3 linked regions of the Macaca mulatta genome follow. The protein of the gene in region 1 binds, or shares a complex with, the protein of each later gene. Links are inferred from orthologs where the notes say so. Each region holds a gene or a part of one and is shown in the gene's direction. Other genes may lie near its edges. The genes, in order: OBSL1, CCDC8 and MYOM1.

What was found.
Region 2: OBSL1 (region 1) and CCDC8 share a complex: the UniProt entries of both Homo sapiens proteins name them as parts of the 3M complex. The link is inferred for Macaca mulatta from reciprocal best matches to the Homo sapiens genes OBSL1 and CCDC8.
Region 3: the proteins of OBSL1 (region 1) and MYOM1 are in contact, whole or in part, in a crystal structure (PDB 5FM5), measured with the Homo sapiens proteins. The link is inferred for Macaca mulatta from reciprocal best matches to the Homo sapiens genes OBSL1 and MYOM1. Residues at the interface, in NP_056126.1 of Homo sapiens: Pro243, Lys253, Phe255, Val257, Asn258, Gly260, Lys261, His262, Ala263, Lys264, Phe265, Arg266, Cys267, Tyr268, Val269, Met270, Gly271, Lys272, Pro273, Pro275, Trp279, Lys305, Tyr308, Tyr317, Cys319, Ala321, Arg322, Asn323, Ser324, Ala325; in NP_003794.3 of Homo sapiens: Arg616, Pro617, Ser618, Ala619, Pro620, Trp621, Thr622, Gly623, Gln624, Ile625, Ile626, Val627, Thr628, Glu629, Glu630, Glu631, Pro632.

What each region holds. Positions count from the first base shown.
Region 1 is NC_133417.1:124,792,002-124,794,525, reverse strand, and holds the end of OBSL1 (obscurin-like protein 1), read left to right. Parts: intron 1-31; coding exon 32-193; intron 194-512; coding exon 513-617; intron 618-930; coding exon 931-1,200; intron 1,201-1,879; coding exon 1,880-1,887; 3' UTR 1,888-2,012; downstream 2,013-2,524. UniProt on the Homo sapiens protein: Core component of the 3M complex, a complex required to regulate microtubule dynamics and genome integrity. It is unclear how the 3M complex regulates microtubules, it could act by controlling the level of a microtubule stabilizer.
Region 2 is NC_133424.1:58,899,823-58,904,212, reverse strand, and holds the start of CCDC8 (coiled-coil domain-containing protein 8), read left to right. Parts: upstream 1-1,553; 5' UTR 1,554-1,689; coding exon 1,690-3,330; 3' UTR 3,331-3,514; exon of another isoform or gene 3,515-3,941; intron 3,942-4,390. UniProt on the Homo sapiens protein: Core component of the 3M complex, a complex required to regulate microtubule dynamics and genome integrity. It is unclear how the 3M complex regulates microtubules, it could act by controlling the level of a microtubule stabilizer.
Region 3 is NC_133423.1:74,414,266-74,417,914, reverse strand, and holds part of MYOM1 (myomesin-1), read left to right. Parts: intron 1-3,417; coding exon 3,418-3,649. UniProt on the Homo sapiens protein: Major component of the vertebrate myofibrillar M band. Binds myosin, titin, and light meromyosin. This binding is dose dependent.

The sequences.
Region 1 (2,524 bases):
CGCCCCGCTCACGCCCCGGGCTCCGCCCCAGAACGTACGGTGGCGGTGCTCTCCGAGCTGCGGTCGGTGAGCGCCCGTGAAGGCGACGGCGCCACGTTCGAGTGCACCGTATCGGAGGTCGAGACCACAGGGCGCTGGGAGCTCGGAGGCCGCCCGCTGAGACCCGGAGCCCGCGTCCGCATCAGACAGGAAGGTCTGGCCTCCTGGTTACCCTCTCGGGCCCCTCGCTGCCCCGCCCAGACTCGGACAGATCCCGCCCCACCGGGACAAGCCCCGCCCCTGACTCGGACGGGCCCCGCCCCGCGGCCCTGTGAGCCTCGTCCCCAGTCTTTCCCCCGCCCCCAGCCCCGAGTCTCGGACCGCTAGTCTTCCCGCTCGGTATCCCGGTTCCGCCCACCCTAGCGTACACTAACGGTGTCCGAACCGACCCAGGGGCCTGCTGCGCCCCCACCTTCGTCCCTAGCGCTCCTCAGAGGCGGCTCCGGCCTCGCTAGCGACCCCCTCACCCCCAGGGAAGAAACACATTCTGGTGCTTAGCGAGCTGCGGGCCGAAGACGCCGGTGAAGTACGCTTCCAGGCGGGGCCCGCCCAGTCCTTGGCTCTACTGGAAGTGGAGGGTAAGCACCTGGGGCGGGAGCCACAGAGAGTACATCCTCTGTCTCCTGCCATGGGACTGACGGACTTGGGGCTGGCCCCAAGAACGCTGCCTCTCTCTCTTCCCCTCCCCCCGAGAGGCTGTCCTGGGTCGGGTCACAGAGGGCAGCGCGTTTCCCCGGGAAGAGGAGACTTTGGGTCTGAGGTGCAAGGGAACGGACTGGTGGCATAGAGGGCTAAGGCCAGGAGTGGAGGCTGCAGGGAGGGAAGATGCATCTCTTCTCCTGGGGGCCATGCGTGTCCCTATTAACTTAAGCTCCTGCCCCCTATCCCCAGCATTGCCTCTCCAGATGTGCCGCCACCCCCCTCGCGAGAAGACCGTTCTGATGGGCCGCCGGGCGGTGCTGGAGGTGACTGTGTCCCGCTCGGGGAGCCACGTGTGCTGGTTGCGGGAGGGGGCCGAGCTGTGCCCGGGAGATAAGTATGAGATGCGCAGCCACGGCCCCACCCACAGCCTGGTCATCCATGACGTTCGACCTGAGGACCAGGGCACCTACTGCTGCCAGGCCGGCCAGGACAGCGCCCACACACGGCTGCTGGTAGAGGGTGAGTAAAGTCAACTGGGCAGAGGCAGGAGAGCGAGGGCGCCTGGGAGCTGATGGGTTAAGCCACACTTGGCTTTCCAAGACTTGGGGTGGCAACGGGTCCTGGGATACGTCGGAGGTGGGGATGGGGGAGGGGAAGGGTAGAGCACACCTAGGGCTGGAAAGCCCTGGAACCGCTTGGCTTAGATCAGCTGCTCCTGGTCAGCTGTTCCCACCTTTCTACGCCCCTTCCTGCCAGGCTTCTCCTCTCTCCTGCCACTGGACCATGTTTGTCTCTCTTGAACAGCCCTGTTTCTACCAGTTCCTTTCCTCCCCACTTCCCCAACACTGCCTGCCTCCAGCCTGTCCCTCCTCTCTCCTGCCCTCTGCCCAGCTTGCCTCTACCCATCTCAGCAAGTTCCATGTCAGCCTCGGCAGAAGCCTCTTTCTTTCCTTTTCCACGTAGGAGACATCCCACCTTCTATCCCGAATCCCAGCATTCCCTTCAGGTGCTGCCCTGTGCCCCATCCCTAGCTGACCCCCACCTTCCTGCTGCCAAGACAGCCCTGACCAAGACGGAGAAAGGGTAGGGCATAGCCTGGGGCCCCAGCTCTTCCTGTACTGGTGTCCAGGCTCTGCCAGGGGAGAGAAAGGTGGTACCCACTCTCTCCCCAGCCACATGTGGAGTCATTCCTCTGCAGGTAACTAGGAGGACCGAACCAGGCCAGGCGGGTGCCCTTGGACAACTTGGAAGGCGTGCGCCCTTACCCTGGGCAGGGGTAGAGAGACAGGGAAACCAGAGGTGTCAGGAGACAATAAAAGTGCTACAGCTCATTTCCTTGCCTCTCTGAGTGATGTGGGAGGGCAGACCTTGCCTGGAGCCTCTGTGCAGTGAGCGACACTGGGGACCGAGGGCTGTAGTGCTTGTACCTGGCCCATGAAAGTGCCAGCCACCAAAGACCACCATTCCTGGCAGAGGCCACGCAGTTTGGCACATTTATAAAAGATGTAAAACAGAGTGGGGTGGGGGAGACAGAAGCATGAGGTGTCCAGGTTGGCATGACAGACACCAGACATGCACCGTGCATTTCAGCCCCTCCCCAACTCCCTTCCCAACCCAGCCCAGAGCAGCACCCCCCACCCCCATCTCCTGCCACTGCCCTCAGGCTGGTGGCTTTGCAGAGGCCAGGGGACCACGGTGAGGGGTGCTACAGTTTGCCCCATAGACAAGGACAAGAACCCTTAGATGAGTCTGGCTGGGAGGCAGGGCGATGGGAAGGAAGGTAGCCCCTCCGCGGAGACATGCAGGAGGTGGCCCATGGGACCCCGGCGGGGGGTGAGGAGGT
Region 2 (4,390 bases), on another chromosome or scaffold:
AAGTTGCAAAATATTTCACTGTAAGATACTACCATAAAATAGAGGCAGTATCTACTCATGAACTTTTAGGCTTTTTTGTTGTTGTTTATTTGTGGGGTTTTTTTGGTTTTGTTTTTTGGCTTTTTTTGTTTGTTTGTTTGTTTTGTTTTTGTTTTTTTGAGACAGAGTCTCCCTCTGTTGCCCAGGCTGGAGTGCAGTGGCGCCATCTCTGCAACCTCCACCTCCCGGGTTCATGCCATTCTCCTGCCTCAGCCTCCCGTGTAGCTGGGACTACACACGCACACCACCACACCCGGCTAATTTTTGTATTTTTTGTAGAGACGAGGGTTTCACCATGTTGGCCAGGCTGGTCTCGAACTCCTGGCCTCCAAGTGTTCCACCCGCCTAGGCCTCCCAAAGTGCTGGGATTACAGGCATGAGCCACCGCGCCTGGCTATGAACATTCAGGTTTATTCATCCACTCAAAAATATGTAGAGCCCTGACCTCCTGCCAAGCGTCACAGGGGGACTGTTGCAATAAGATCCCGGTACCCATTTCTCTACCCACGCGTCTGGGTGTACGGGTACGGATAGTCGCGTGAATTTAAAATGCTAATCTATGGTGCCAGTGGCTCTCAAAAGGTAGAATCCACTGGCACACCCACCTCCAGGACTTGGCTGGAAACTTGTACATTTCGGATGGCAGGTTTGGGAACCGCTGCCTTTCAGCAAAGGTGCTGACGTGGGCCACCGCCGCTTCGCTGGGAAGCAATGGGCCCAGCTAGGCCCCAGGCGCGGCCACACCCCTGTGGGGGAGGGGAAGGAGGCTGCCCCGAAGGGAGTGGACAGCCCCCCTGTCAGTCTTCCAGAGTCTGGGAGTGTAAGATGAGACGGGGGAAGGTGGGCCTCATTCTGGCGGAGGGCAAGGAGGAACTTCCTGCTGGTGCGCTCCACCGTGCAGAGCCCTAAGCGCGCGGGCTGGCAGGCTGCGGCGCGTCAAGGTCAGCCTGGAGCTGGGTGGTGGCCTGCCTGGGGGCGGGGGACCCTACTGGGGGGCCGGGCTGAGGCCTCTCAGCGCCTCCGCCATATTGAATAGCCTCGACTGGACCGTCTTTGTCTGCGAAGTCCTCTCCCAAGTTCCAACCGCGTCCCAGGGGCCTGGGGCAGGAAGAATCGCTGGCAGCCCGCGCGCCCCAACTTGGAGCTGGGACACCACGTTTCCAGCTTGGAGTGGGCCTTGAACCTTGGGACTGACCTCGCCTCCGGCTCACGTAGGCATCCTGGAAATTGATTCTCCCAAGTCCTTGGTGGAGGAGCCGGACTTGGTCAAGACTGGACTTGTTGCAGGAGAAGAGATTGGAGGCGTTGACTCGTCCCTGGCTGGGGAGGTGAGACTCTGCGGTCAGCGTTGCTGGGACTCCCCCCATCCAGTCCCTCCCTCAAGACTAAGGGCTACAGTAGTTTGTTGGGGCTCTTTGCTCCCTCACCCCAGATATCACCCTGGAGATCTTAAAGACTCTCGAGAAAAGCCACGTGGGGGGCTGGTTCCCCTGGGGCTTCCTCCCGTCCCCCGACTGCCTCATTCTTTGGAGCGTCCCCGATGTCTGCAAAGATGTGGATTTGGACGTCCTCGTGGAAGCCCTAAAACCCGTGGGAACATTTAAGAAGATCGGCAAGGTGTTCCGCAAGGAGGAGGACTCCACGGTGGGGATGCTGCAGATCGGGGAGGACGTCGACTATTTGCTCATCCCCCGGGAGGTCAGGCTGGCCGGGGGCGTCTGGAGAGTCATCTCTAAGCCTGCCACCAAGGAAGCAGAATTTCGGGAGCGGCTGACCCAGTTCCTGGAAGAACAGGGCCGCACCCTGGAGGACGTGGCCCGCATCATCGAGAAGAGCACCCCGCACCCGCCCCAGCCCCCCAAAAAGCCCAAGGAGCCCCGAGTGAGGAGGAGAGTGCAGCAGATGGTGACTCCTACGCCCCGGCTGGTCGTGGGCACGTATGACAGCAGCAACGCCAGCGACAGCGAGTTCAGCGACTTCGAGACCTCCAGAGACAAGAGCCGCCAGGGCCCGCGGCGGGGCAAGAAGGTGCGCAAAATGCCCGTCAGCTACCTGGGCAGCAAGTTCCTGGGAAGCGACGTGGAGAGCGAGGATGATGAGGAACTGGTGGAGGCATTTCTCCGGCGACAGGAGAAGCAGCCCCCCGCGCCGCCTGCCCGCCGCCGCGTCAACCTGCCAGTGCCCATGTTTGAGGACAACCTGGGGCCTCAGCTGTCCAAGGCGGACAGGTGGCGGGAGTATGTCAGCCAGGTGTCCTGGGGGAAGCTGAAGCGGAGGGTGAAGGGTTGGGCGCCGAGGGCGGGCCCCGGGGTGGGCGAGGCCCGGCTGGCCTCCATCCCAGTGGAGAGCGCAGGGGTATCCTCCGGCACCAGCCCGGGGGATCCCGGGGATCCTGTGGAAAATGTGGGAGATGTCTGTGCCCCGCAGGCCTCCCCTAGGCGATGGAGGCCCAAGATCAACTGGGCCTCGTTTAGGCGCCGCAGGAAGGAGCAGACAGCGCCCACAGGTCGGGGGGCAGACATCGAGGCTGATCAGGGGGAAGAGGCTGCAGATAATCAGAGGGAAGAGGCCATAGCTGACCAGGAGGAAGAGGCTGCAGGTAATCAGAGGGCAGGGGCCCCAGCTGACCAGGGGGCAGAGGATGCAGATAACCATAGGGAAGAGGCTGCAGATAATCAGAGGGAAGAGGCCATAGCTGACCAGAGGGAAGAGGCTGCAGGTAATCAGAGGGCAGGGGCCCCAGCTGACCAGGGGGCAGAGGCTGCAGATAACCATGGGGAAGAGGCTGCAGATAATCAGAGGGCAGAGGCCCCAGCTGACCATAGGCCACAGGGTGCAGATAACCTGAGGGAAGAGGCTCTAGCTGACCAGGGGTCAGAGGCTACAGATCCTCGAAGGGAAGAGGCCATACATGACCAGAGGGAAAGGGCCCCAGCTGTCCAGGGTGCAGGTAATCAGAGGGCACAGGCCCGGGCTGGCCAAAGGGCAGAGGCTGCACATAATCAGACGGCAGGGGCCCCAGGTATCCAGGAAGCTGAAGCCTCAGCTACCCAAGGGGCCACAGGAACAGCTTCAGGAGCCAGGGCCCGGAAACAGGTCAAGACAGTGAGGTTCCAGACCCCTGGACGCTTTTCGTGGTTTCGCAAGCCCCGGAGAGCCTTCTGGCACACTCCCCGGTTGCCAACCCTGCCCAAGAGAGTCCCCAGGGCAGGCGAGGCCAGGAGCCTCAGGGTGCTGAGGGCCGAGGCCAGAGCAGAAGCTGAACAGGGAGAGCGAGAAGACCAGCTGTGAGGTGAGGGCTAGAGACAGCCCACGGGCCCTCCCTACAAGCGTGGGAGAGAAAGTTGCTCTTTCTGCCTCTGAACTTGAAAGTGGAGTTGGAGTGCTGCCCACATCTCCACCTTACAACCCTCTTTATTCTCTTGTTAAAGTTTTGTCTCATGCGTTGATTTTTAAAAAATTTTTTAGAGACAGGGTCTCACTCTGTTGCCCAGGCTGGAGTGCAGTGGCATGATCACTGCAGCCTCAAACTTCTGGCCTCAAGTGATCCTCCTGCCTCGGCCTCCCAAAGTGCTGGGATGACAGGTGTGAGCCACCACACGTACCACCTGATAAAATATATATATATATATACATATATACATATATATAGTGATTCCTTGTAGCAACCCAAAAAATGTAAAGAAAGAATTCGATACAAGGGGGTTCTGTCACCTATAGTTTTAATTTCCTCAAATGCAACTCAAGGTGCTCAGCTTGATAAAAGGAGAGCGGGAGGGCAGGGGAGAAATTGCCTGCTTTTCCTGTCCCTTTTTTGCCTGCACACTTAACGTGGACTGCCTCCTTGGACTTAAAAAGAGGACTTGAGCCAACATGCAAATAAAAAAACATTTATGAACTGGTTTCTTAGCTTTGGACTTGGCAACTGACGAATGCTCTGGGGGTGACCCGGCCCTTCCTGTCCGTTCTACTCCCATCCTTGAAGATGGAGACACCTGTGTTTATGTTGTCACTTCGCTTGCCATCCTCATGCCCCTGGACTCTGCTGCTTTGGAGGGGACAGGGCCCTTGGTTTGCATACCTCTCCCGATCTTGGTTGTAAGGTACAGTAAAAGCATCTGAAAAATGCGTTCAAAACACAGATTCTGGGGCCCTCAGCATCAGAGATGTGGATTTGCTAGCGGTGCCTGTGTGGCTCTGAATTCTGTTTGCATCAAGCTTCCAAACATCTGGGCAATTCGGCCATTGGACACATTGAAAACTCATTGCAATAAGAAAAGGCCTAAAAGAGGGGCTGTGGTTGGCCGGACGTGGTGGCTCACACCTGTAATCCCAGCACTTAGGGAGGCCG
Region 3 (3,649 bases), on another chromosome or scaffold:
AGTTCCTTTCTGACTTGTGTCGGAGGCTAATGTCATAATTGCTCTGAACCCAATTAGGAAGGTAAAGGGATAAATAACATTCTATTTTTGGCTTTTTAGCTGATATCTTTGCTCTGTCTGATTTTCTAAAGTGAACTTTCCAGACAAACACGCTTTCGCTGCTAAGTATGCATGTCCAGCCATTTGTCCTCTTCACAGTAGCTTAATGTAACTTGCATTCCTTATAAGTGATGGTAGGCTAGAGGGGTAAAGTCTTTTGTCTCCGGTATTTTTCCCACTCTGTTTCAAAAAATCATTTTAAAACCACATCAGCTTAACACTAGCCTACGTGACATGACTCCACCTGGCAGGGCATGAAATGAAGCTTCTTACTCCTAACATCTTCTCCCTGCTCTGTCCACACCAAACTATTTGTCTCTTCCGGGCCAGTCTCAGGAAGTGATCATTTACCAAATAAACTGATAAAAGAAGATGTGAGGCCGGGCGTGGTGGCTCTCGCCTATAATCCCAGCACTTTGGGAGGCCAAGGTGGGCGGATCACGAGGTCAGGAGATTGAGAACATCCTGGCTAACACAGTGAAACCCTTTCTCTACTGAAAATACAGAAATTACCTGGGTGTGGTGGCAGGCACCTGTAATCCCAGCTACTCGGGAGGCTGAGGCAGGAGAATCGCTTGAACCTGGAAGGTGGAGGTTGCAGTGAGCCAAGAGATCGCGCCACTGCGCTCCAGCCTGGGAAACAGAGCGAGACTCCTCTCAAAAAAAAAAAAAAAAAAAAAAGATGTGAATAAAAATTGATTTTCTAGGCTTTATTTCTAGTTCTCCATTATATCTTATACGGTGTCATCACCTATACTCTATTACTGTGTCAAAAATAACATTTCACAACGGTTTTGGCAGTATTAACAATCTGAGAAGAGGATGGAAAAATATGAACATTTGTTGAGTGTCTATTATTATTTGCTGGGACTCATGCAAGGTGCTTTATATAAACCATCTTGCTAAATTCTCCATACAACCCTGCAGAGATATTAATATATCAACGTTTTGGACAAGGAAATCATGGCAGAGTGACTTGCTGAAAGCTGCATGCCTGGGAGGGAAAGAATTGAAAGTCCCACGTAGGCCTGGTCAATGCAGTGGACATGCCCTCTGCACTCACACTGTGCTTCTGGAAAACACCATTTCCTCTGCATGGCACCTGAAAATTCCACTTATATTCTAATAAATTGAGTAAACTTTCTGTCGGCAAGAGATTTTGAATTGAGATTGTCACAGATTCGCAGAGTACTGGGAGATTTTAAATTTAGTTTTACTTCGTAGTAGTATACTTTTGTCAACATGTTAGCCTCACAGTTTTACTTTTGTGTCCAGATTATAGAAGGGTTATCACTGATAAATCCTGACTTTTACTTAAAGGAGAATATCCCTACTGCCCTGGGTCTAACATACTTTTTAAGTGTAGTTGAGTTCTCGTGTGAAATAATTACAAGGTTTTTTTTCCGAAGTTTGGCTTCTTTGTAAACGGAAAAGGCAAGGAGACTATCACTTCGTTTGGCCCTCTAGAGCTGTGCCAACCTATCCAGTATCAGTAGTAATGAGAACTTAAACATAAAGTTCTCTTACTTGGAGCCTGGGGCAAGACTAGCATTGAATATGATCCATCATTACATGAATTGAAACAGATCACAAAGCTCATTTCACATCTCCCTATTGTATGTTGACTTCTATAGAGAATTCCAAGCAAATTCTCCATGGTTTGTTTTGTATTCAGTTAGTAATTCATTCACTTCCTATCTTGTTCAAAAAAGATTGAGAAGTCATTATGTGAGGACACTAAGCTAAAAATCTTTCATCTTCCTCCTCCCCCTCAAATAATAATGGACATATTACTAACATCCATAGTAGGGATTCTCTTATTAATATTTACAGAGAGAGAGGAAAAAACTTAAAATTTACTCACTACATTTAGTCAGAAACAACATGGACTCATCTCGTCTGCCAGATGTTTTAGGAATAGTCCATGAGAAACCCCAAACTTGGCAAATGTGGAATCTTACTCCTCAGCAAGCGACATAGATTTAGATGCTAGGAACTTGCTAACACAATGGCAGCATTTGCTTACATACTGAAGCAATCATTCTTGGAATGTATAATTCTGACGTAAGAGGTCTAAGGAGACTCAATTTCAAGAGAATCCTCGATATAATCAATACACTCTTTCACTAAAACATTTGAGGGGCTTTACAACAAAAGGCATTGAAATATGTTAAAATAATTCAAATATTTTTAAACAACATGAATAAATCACAGCACAGATTCTATCATAAACTGCCACAGTAGGCATTGAACTTGAGATGTTACCACTCCCTTACTATTGTCATCAATTATGAATAATAACGAGTCACATTTATAAATGTCACCACTTCCATCACAAGTTTGATAATTTCTTAGTATATACTATAGGTGCACACATAGTATATGCACACACAACATATATTATCTTAGAAAGAAACCCAGTAGACATAAGGAACCTCATGTACATTCAGAACTTATTCATACTGCAACAACTCCAGGCAGTGCATTACATCAGCAAAGTGACAGAATCCAGATCAAGCTCCTACTCATGTATCAGGGTCACAGGCAAACAAACTAGATCTCATTTGACAATATGGCTTTTCTGGAAAGGAACCATAATCTTTTATTGTAAACAAAATCATGTTTAAACACACTAAGACAATCCGTGAGACGACCTTGGGCAAGTTATCTAACTTCTCTGAACCTCGTTACCATATATCTAAACCAGAAATAATAATTTATCTTGGCCGGGCATGGTGGCTCACGAATGTAATCCCAGCACTTTGGGAGGCCAAGGCTGGTGGATCACCTGAGGTCAGGAGTTCGAGACTAGCCTGGCCAACATGGTGAAACCCTGTCTCTACTAAAATTACAAAATATTAGCTGGGCATGGTAGCAGAAGCCTGTAATCCCAGCTACTTGGGAGGCTAAGGCAGGAGAATTGCTTGAACCCAGGAGGCCGAGGTTGCAGTGAGCTGAGATTGAACCATTGCACTCCAGCCTGGGCAACAAGAGCGAGACTCCATCTTAAAAAAAAAAAAAAGTTTATCTCATAGGGTTTATATGGGGATGAAACAAGATCATGTATGTGAAAAGCACCAGGGCCATCATAGGTGTTATAATTACTGTTATCATTATTATTATTATTGTTATTTGTTAAGGTGAGGAACACTTCCGTACATGAAGCGTCAGCTTCTGATTTACCTGCTTTTTCTATATCGGGTTTTCTTTTGGTGCAGGATACAGTGTCTGAGGTGTGGTACTTTGAACTTAGTAAAAATTACTCAATCTTATCACTGCCATCCACAACATCTACATTTTGCCATTATTGTGTTTTAGTCAAAAGCATGTCAGTGGAATTACAGATACGGAAGAAGAAAGAATTAAAGAAGCTGCTGCTTATATAGCCCAGAGGAATCTTCTTGCTAGTGAGGAAGGAATCACAACATCTAAACAGTCCACGGCATCTAAGCAGTCCACGGCATCTAAGCAGTCCACGGCATCTAAGCAGTCCATGACATCCAAGCAGTCCACAGCATCCAGGCAATCCATGGCATCCAAGCAGTCCGTG